Linked DNA regions of Caenorhabditis elegans. The protein of the gene in region 1 interacts with the protein of each later gene in a pairwise test. Each region holds a gene or a part of one and is shown on either strand. Other genes may lie near its edges.

What was found.
Region 2: the proteins of gldi-10 (region 1) and ZK1055.7 interact in a two-hybrid assay, tested with the Caenorhabditis elegans proteins (one large-scale study listed by BioGRID).

Annotation. Positions count from the first base shown.
Region 1 is NC_003282.8:9,097,312-9,101,242, reverse strand, and holds the start of gldi-10 (AMP-activated protein kinase glycogen-binding domain-containing protein), read right to left. Parts: upstream 2,002-3,931; 5' UTR 1,873-2,001; coding exon 1,866-1,872; intron 1,814-1,865; coding exon 1,702-1,813; intron 1,326-1,701; coding exon 1,236-1,325; intron 1,188-1,235; coding exon 693-1,187; intron 606-692; coding exon 458-605; intron 409-457; coding exon 283-408; intron 236-282; coding exon 4-235; intron 1-3. Other genes in the region: cpna-3 (VWFA domain-containing protein), read right to left, coding at 2,169-2,276, 2,323-2,400, 2,451-2,613, 2,659-2,786, 2,833-3,079, 3,299-3,402, 3,450-3,931.
Region 2 is NC_003283.11:6,603,231-6,607,161, forward strand, and holds the start of ZK1055.7 (Protein F37C4.5), read right to left. Parts: upstream 2,146-3,931; 5' UTR 2,144-2,145; coding exon 2,003-2,143; intron 1,959-2,002; coding exon 1,839-1,958; intron 1,794-1,838; coding exon 1,559-1,793; intron 1,506-1,558; coding exon 1,397-1,505; intron 941-1,396; coding exon 286-940; intron 1-285. Other genes in the region: gon-14 (HAT C-terminal dimerization domain-containing protein), read right to left, coding at 3,573-3,675.

The DNA.
Region 1 (3,931 bases):
GACCATCAATAACAATATCAGCATCTTGCTCATTTCCAACAGTCTGCTTTGCTCCTAGGTTTGGCTCACAGTGAGATGATGTTTCCGAGGCTTCTTGAACATCAGTCTCAATAAACGATGGTTCAATTTCAGCTAAACTAGACATGAGACTTTCTGTAACCATTGACATTTCCGAAAGATTCTCATCGGAAGTGGCTTCCAAAATATTAGAATCTCCAAGTTGGGCTTGGATAATCTAAAAAATCACGTCTCTGCATCAAAAAGTGAAAATGAATAACGAACATCTTGAATTTTCCCAAAAAAATCATTCGAAATACCGTGAAGATCCATTCCAGAGTCTTGCGGAGAAATGGCATCACATGCACCAGCATCCGTTCTATCTTCATCAAGATTTCTGCATCCAGCAATCTAAATTTAAACTCAGAAATGTATTTATAATTTAAAATATTGTGAATACCTGTTTCAAAACCCGTTCATTAATTTGATCACATTCCGAGTGTGAAGAGTTTGGAGCATTTGCAATATTCGAATCATCAGATCCAGTTGATTTACGATTCGATGGTTGAGTACTGTCAGTGTGGACATTTGGAGATGGTGCCATGGTTCTGAAGTTGAGAATTTCAAGGATTATTTGAAACTAAAACATATTAAAATATACAATACATAAAGCCTGTTGAAAAAGACAAACTTACGGTCGAATATTAAAATTGGAAGAAGCATCAAATTGAACTTCATCAAGTGTCATTGTCTGTGGACTCTTTTTAGTTTCTTTTTTAATTTTTTCCTTTCCACTTTCTTTCACTTTTTTGTCTTTTTCTAAACTTCCATTTATCTTTTTTCCTTTCTCTCCAATACAATGATCTCTATCCAATAAAATATCTTCTTCCGAATTCAAATTCGGCACGGCTACAGTACCCTCTGGAATAGTTTTTGGAATAACTGGTCGAATGAACACACAATTGACTGGCTCATTCATCGGAACTTTTTGACGAATCACATCCGGAGTTTTTGGAGTTTGAGGCGAAGATTTCTTGGATCCCATGTTTGTTGGTGATAGACATCTTGGAGTGGATACAGTACTCTGTTGCGGATCTTGGAGCATTGAAAGCATGAGTTTTCGAATTGAACGGTATCCAGCTTCAAGTGTGTAATAGAGACTCATAACTACAATGAGAACTGCAATTATTCTGAAAATTTTCAAGAATGGATAATTGATTGATCATGTAATAACTCACATTCCAACCATCGAATACCATGGTCGCTCCTCACTTCGCTCATACACGACAATGTGCGGAGCATCAGCAAAATGAAACATTTCAGAAATTCTGTAAAGATTCAAAATACGGATCAGTTCTCAAAAAGCAATTCAAAATAATACAGAGATATTACAGAAATTTTCGGATTTTCCACAAAAGTACGGTAGCCGGTCTCGACGCGACAAAATTTTGCTAACAACAGTAAGTTCAAGAGGAGTGTGCCTTTAAAGATAAGAGTACTGTAATTATTCGTCTAATTGCATATGAAAAATTAATAAAAGACGCAGCAACGAAGATCGGAAATTACAGTAATCTTTAAAGGTGCACATTATTTTGCCTCAAACATAAATGTGGTCGTGTCGAGACCGAGTACCGTTTTTGTGGAATGATATTTGCAAAATTTGGCATCTAGGTAATATTTTAATCGCAGATCACGAAAACTGACCTAGTTTTGAATGTTTTCTTCGCATAAGTGCATCCGAGAATCCACTGGAAAACCTTTTTAACTTCAGCTAAACCAAACCCAGAACTTCCGGATTCTTCGCTCTTTTCATTACCTGAACATTTACAAATGATTAAATCAAACTGGCAGCTTTCTGAAATGCTCACCAAACATGATATCGACCGTTTCTTTTTATTGGAAATGATGAGGAAAATGAGTACAACAAACCAGCGGATAAAATGTGAGAAATAAATGAATTCTATGAAAAATTGAACAATCTATGAAAAAAGCAAACATGATTAAAACCCGTGATTGAATAGGGGGAATTATAGGTTACTGGGTTACGTACATCTATATATATAATTTGAGCGTTACGAATTTTGGCACAAAATACATGAAAAATGATGAAAATTGCAAGAAAACAAAAATACAAATAGGAGAAGTGCAAGAAAATTTCGGATACATTTGTTTTATTTCGGATCAAAATGGAACATCCGTTTCCACTGAGCCATTTGAATCGGGATCATTGCTAACACATCACTAGATTCTAGGTCCGACGGATCTACGTAGCTATAGTTCTGAAAATATTGATTTTTGATCGGTCAGTTTGAAAAAGAGAGTTACCTGTCGCACGAGAAGCCGTCCGTCGGAATGTTTCAATGTCAGTTTCTCAAGATTTCGCATCGGACTGTGATCTCGATCCTAAAAATTAGTTGTTAGGATGTTTCCCAGATTAAAAAAAAGTATCTAACCTGTCCCATTCCAACTCCGATAATACTCATTGGATGAGGCGATGCATCAACTATTGCATCAATTGATCTTTTCATGTTAAGTGCATTGGCAGGGCCACCATCTGAATAGATGATTAGAACGAAGTAGAGACCAACATGACGACGAGATTCAGCTTTTGCGAATCTGAATACAAATTTTACATATCAACTGAAATCTCGCATAACTTACTTTGACATAAAATAAATAACTTCTGAAAAATCTGTTGGTGCAAATGGTTGAAGACCCATAACTGCAGTTCTATAAGCACTTAGCAGTCCTCCCAAACCTTCTACACGTGGATCAGTTGGAGTTCCATTCTGTAAAACATTTAATATATGGATTATTGCTTCAACAAATACTTACTAAACAAAAACAGTGTGATAACTGAAGAGCACCTCCAGGAACTTGAACTTTTGCACCGAACCCAAGAGCTCCAATATGAGGATTCTGAGGATTTGGAAGATAAGCAAGAAGTGGGGGAACTGTTTGAAGAAGTGCTTCGAGATATGGAGATGGTTGATGAGGATGGATGTAATGAAGAGAAGATTGGTTTACAGGATTTCCATTTGATGCAGTCAAATCGATGGCAGACGTTAATTGAATCTTCACACTGAAAATTAAATACTTATTACAACGAAAAAAAAAGTTTGAAAATACATTAATTGGTTTTTTGTACATTTTATTTGTTCAGCTTAAGTATGTCAATTTTATAAATATAAAATTGAATATAAAGCAAAGTGTAAATTTTCAAAGTGTAATTGTAAATTTAAGCATGAAAACTATTGTTATGAACCGGAAAGTGTTCCATTCCAAAACCAGTTTTTCTTACTTATTTTCCATCATTTGAAAAAATGTCGGACCATTTTCCAAGCTCAATTCTTTCAATTCGATGCAAGTCTTTTCATGAATTCGTTTCCCATTAGGCTCCATCAGCTGAAAAACTGTTAATTAATAAATATATTTTAAACAAAAAATCATACCATGTAAGAATTAAAATGCCCAACACCTTGTTGTAGTTGTGTGAGAGTAGTTGTACAGTGTCCAACGAGTTGATCATCATGATTTGGTGTGTAATTATATACATGAAGTTGAATCGATGATTCATTAAAATAATTAAGCAGAAACAGAGGAATACTAAATGCCGCCCATTCTGGATATTTTGTTTCTCTCAACATTTCCGATTTGTACAACATAATTGTCCGTTCTTCAGTGGGAATTGAGAGAATGTAATACAGTTGAAGTGGAATAACATCCGAAGGACTGTGCAAATAATTTCCAGAAAACCTAATGCGGAGAAACTGGGAATAATAATCTGGAACTTTTCCAACAATTTCCAGAGAACATGGCGCAAGTGGTGAAGCGATAAGGAGAATGAGACGTCCTCCACATGCGAACATCATAGAAATATCGAAATCGGCAGTACCCATTGATCCCATAATTGTCTTTGTGGAGGAGTTTAGTA
Region 2 (3,931 bases), on another chromosome or scaffold:
AAAAGTTGGATTTTATTAAAATATACTCAAACTGATTCAATGAGACTAAATATTTTCATATATCATTCATTATACAATGTTTTAGAGGTTTAATGACTTCTAGTTGAGTTTTGACAAATTTCCAAGTTTTGAAATTTTCTTTTTTTTTGTTGAAAGATTCAGATCATTCTTGTATGTTCAGAGTGAAACAAGATTGAATCGATAGAAGAATTCTTACTATTAAAATTTGGTTATTTCAGCAACTTAATTTGTTTTAAATCAATTTTCTCAACAAAAAAATCTTACTGTTGCGACAAATGCATTATTCAGATAGACAGATGAAAATCCAGCCAGGAGTGCAAGTTGAGAAGTATTAACAGCAGAAGCCGTGAGAAAAGCTGCAGCATTCTTACTTGGAACGGATTCATGAACAAGTTTTGGTGTAAGAGTCACAACTCCAATAGTAACTTTGTGTTCATCAGTACCGTGTGGAATTGTTGCTTCTCTGAGAATTTTAAATTCTGTGCTCAACGTGTTTTGGGTGATTTCTGAAGCAACAGCGACAGCCATTGGTGGAGCCAAAGTCACTTCATCTGAAAATCCGAGTGTTTCGGCTCGACGGTTCTGCGGTCCCCGCGCCCCAAATAATGAGGCTGATGCATTCATCGATCTTGTTTGATAATGTTGAACTTCAGGACGACGGAAGGTTGCTTCGAGAGTTCCAAGATCTGGAATTCTGCCAGCAAGACATGGCTGAGCAGTTGACAAAACAAGTGGTGCAGAAGTCCAATCTTCCTTTGTGAATTGACGGATTTTTCCAAAGTATGTAATGCTCATGGATGGTTTCTCTGTGTCAACTCGGATATCGTATGATGGATGCCACGAAGCATCTAACACTTGATAGACTACATTCAGCTCAGCTTCCAGGTCTTCTGTGCATTCCAAAGTAATTGTGGCAGTGCTAAAATTAAGTTATCAATTTGTTGGGAAGATAGGCAAACAGTGATCTTAAATACTACAGCTTAACAATGTCAAACAATAAGACTCAAAAAATAAATTGTTTCTAGAAATAGATGGAAAATCATATGGAACTTTTCTTTATAATATTTCGAATTTTTATTAGGGTTGGATGCTTTTTTGCATATCTTCAAATCTATCTGTAATCCCATTTGTATTTGAAAATAAATAGTGCATAGAAAGCAAAGCATAGCTCATTGTGCGCCTCAAATTTTTATGGGTTTTTTGATAGTTTTTCAAATTTTTTAAATGATTCAAAATTTGGTATGTTGCCAAAAGTTTGAGTTAAGATTAAGAAAGATTTGAAAAGACATATAAAGTTGTTTTTGCCCCATTTTTAGTATATTTTGGTAAATTCCCCGACTGGCACAATTCCACCTTAAACTTTTCAAAAACTCACTGAGAGAACGCTTCTTCATTCAAATTGTGCATTAGAGCTCGTAACTCGTTTTCCAGTTTCGAAACTTTTTCCTGTTGCTCACGGTGTCCAGCTTCAACTGATCGTAGTTCTAGAAAAAAAAATTAAGTTTTTTAAAATCTCAAATTTATCGTTTAAACTCACTTTCTCTGTATAATTCGGAGTTGCTCCCATAGAATTGGAAGAAATTTGTAAGACTTTCCAAAGTTCCTTCATTTAAAGAAGCAACACCATCTTTTGGTGGATTCACGAGACCCCCACCAACTTGTTCGAAAACTTTGTCCAAATTGTCAACGCATTTTTGGACAACCGTTCCGCGATCTGTGATTTTTTGGAGGCGATTTTTCTCCTCTAGAATGGCAGCTTTGAGATTGGTGATCTTAAAAAAAAGAATATATTTTCGAATTTTAATTATCTTGCCAACCTTTGGAGGATCAGCTTCAGTTGGCAAACGAGAAACATTCTTAATAACTACATCATGAATGATTGCATTTCCTCTTCCTTCAACTCTAATTGATCCTTGAGCCATTGTTTTGCAGAGGTTCTAAATTCAAAACTACTTGAAAAACTTGTTCATATTCTACAAACCTTGAGAACAACTTCATTGACACCAGATTTCAATGAAACTTTGACAAGACGACGGATTTCAGCTCTATCAGTGAATACTTTCACCTCGGCAATTTTAAGATCACGAGTCTCGAACTCGTGGACAGATGGGTTGGTGGTCATTTCTGAAAATGACTCTTTTTAAGAGGTGTGTATTTTCAAATATTAGGAATTCTAAAATAACGAAAGTATATATCACGAATTGTTGTTAATCATTAATATCGCTGCATTTCTAAGAATATATAGATTTACGGACGGTGATACAATCTTAATGTTTACTGTAGAAAATCTGGCTTGAAGTTAATTTATTCAACATATTGGTTTGGTATTTTTCTAACTGGTCGTACATTTCTACATTAAATGAACCAATGCATGAAATTTGAAGCTTGTAGCGATCACTATAGCTGAGATCGTGGCGAGACCTACACAGAAAAATAGTGTGCGCCTTTAAACTGAATTTTAAAATTTCAACGAATATACGATATACGCATGAGAGATTATAGCAGTAGTTGTCTAAAGACAAAGATATTTTTAAAAAACATCTGTATTTTGTAAATATTATTAATGTCATATTTGACGCGCAATATATCTCGTAGTGAAAACTACAGTAATTCTTTAAAGGACTACTGTAGCGCCTGTGTCGATTTACGGGATCATTTTGACTTATCATGTAGATATAATTTATCATATTAAGCAAAAATGAGAAAATAATACGAAGAAACGAAGAAAAATAGAGTATCGCTATTTATCACTATTCGAGAATAAATACGTTTCAAAAGTCGAGCCCGTAAACCGACACCACAGCTACTGTAGTTATTTAAAGAGTTACTGTAGCCTTCGCTACGAGATATTTTGCGCGTCAGATAGTCAGATAGCGCATTACGCATTTTCATAATTTTGTGTTGTAATAAATTCAGAAACATTATATAAACTGAAATAACACACTGAAATTTCCAAAACTAAAAAACGTAAAGTTGAATATTCAAAACTTTTCGAAAAGAAACGCGACGAGATGACTAAATTTCATAACGTTGATATCAGTAAAACCTTCAAATCATTTCAAAGAGAGGAAACTCTCTATTTATACCAAAGAGACAGAAAATGTTTCGCAATGTGTTTGTGCTGACTCATTGGAGACTTAGATGCAGAAAGGAAAACGCGATAGGATAATTTTTTTTTTTTTTTTTTCACATAATAATTCACAAATTTTCGAAACGTTTTTTTTCTCCCAAAAATATGAAATACCAGTCAGAGGGTATGCAAAGTTTCTTGCTGGGTCAACAATTCAGAAATGTCAAGGTGAGTTGGGAATACAGAAAAAAAGAAATGATAAGATACTCTTCAGAAAAATTGAGAAAAATAACATGATTGAGAACTATTAAACAGAACAGGGAAGTAAACTGGTCGATGAGAAAAGAAAACGTTAGCATAGTCAATTTGAAACAACATGCGGATATATCGAAACAAGTAGCATAACAAAAACAAAACAATGAAAATACCAACTAGTGACAAATAACTAAAGTGAATTGAGGTACAGATGTATGAGCTGGGATTATTGTGGAGGTTGATGTAGCTGATGGGTAACACCAGTTTTTGTACGAATGAAATACATCTTTTTCGATGCAGTCAGAGGAGTGTTTAAGTTGAAGGAGACTCTGAAAAGTTGAATATATTTAATTTAGGTTAATAATGGTATCAGCAGAAAGGATGTAATTTTATTTTAAAAAATCGAACATTTTGTTTTTCGATCTTTTGGAAAACATTTCATTTTTATGAATAATGTCATTTCTCTGATTTGAGAGATAAATCTATACATACTTTCCTCGTATTTTTTTTGAATAAAATTTTATTTCCAAAAAAAAACAACCGAACAACTTTTTCTATTTTCTATGAGAAATACCGGAAAATCGA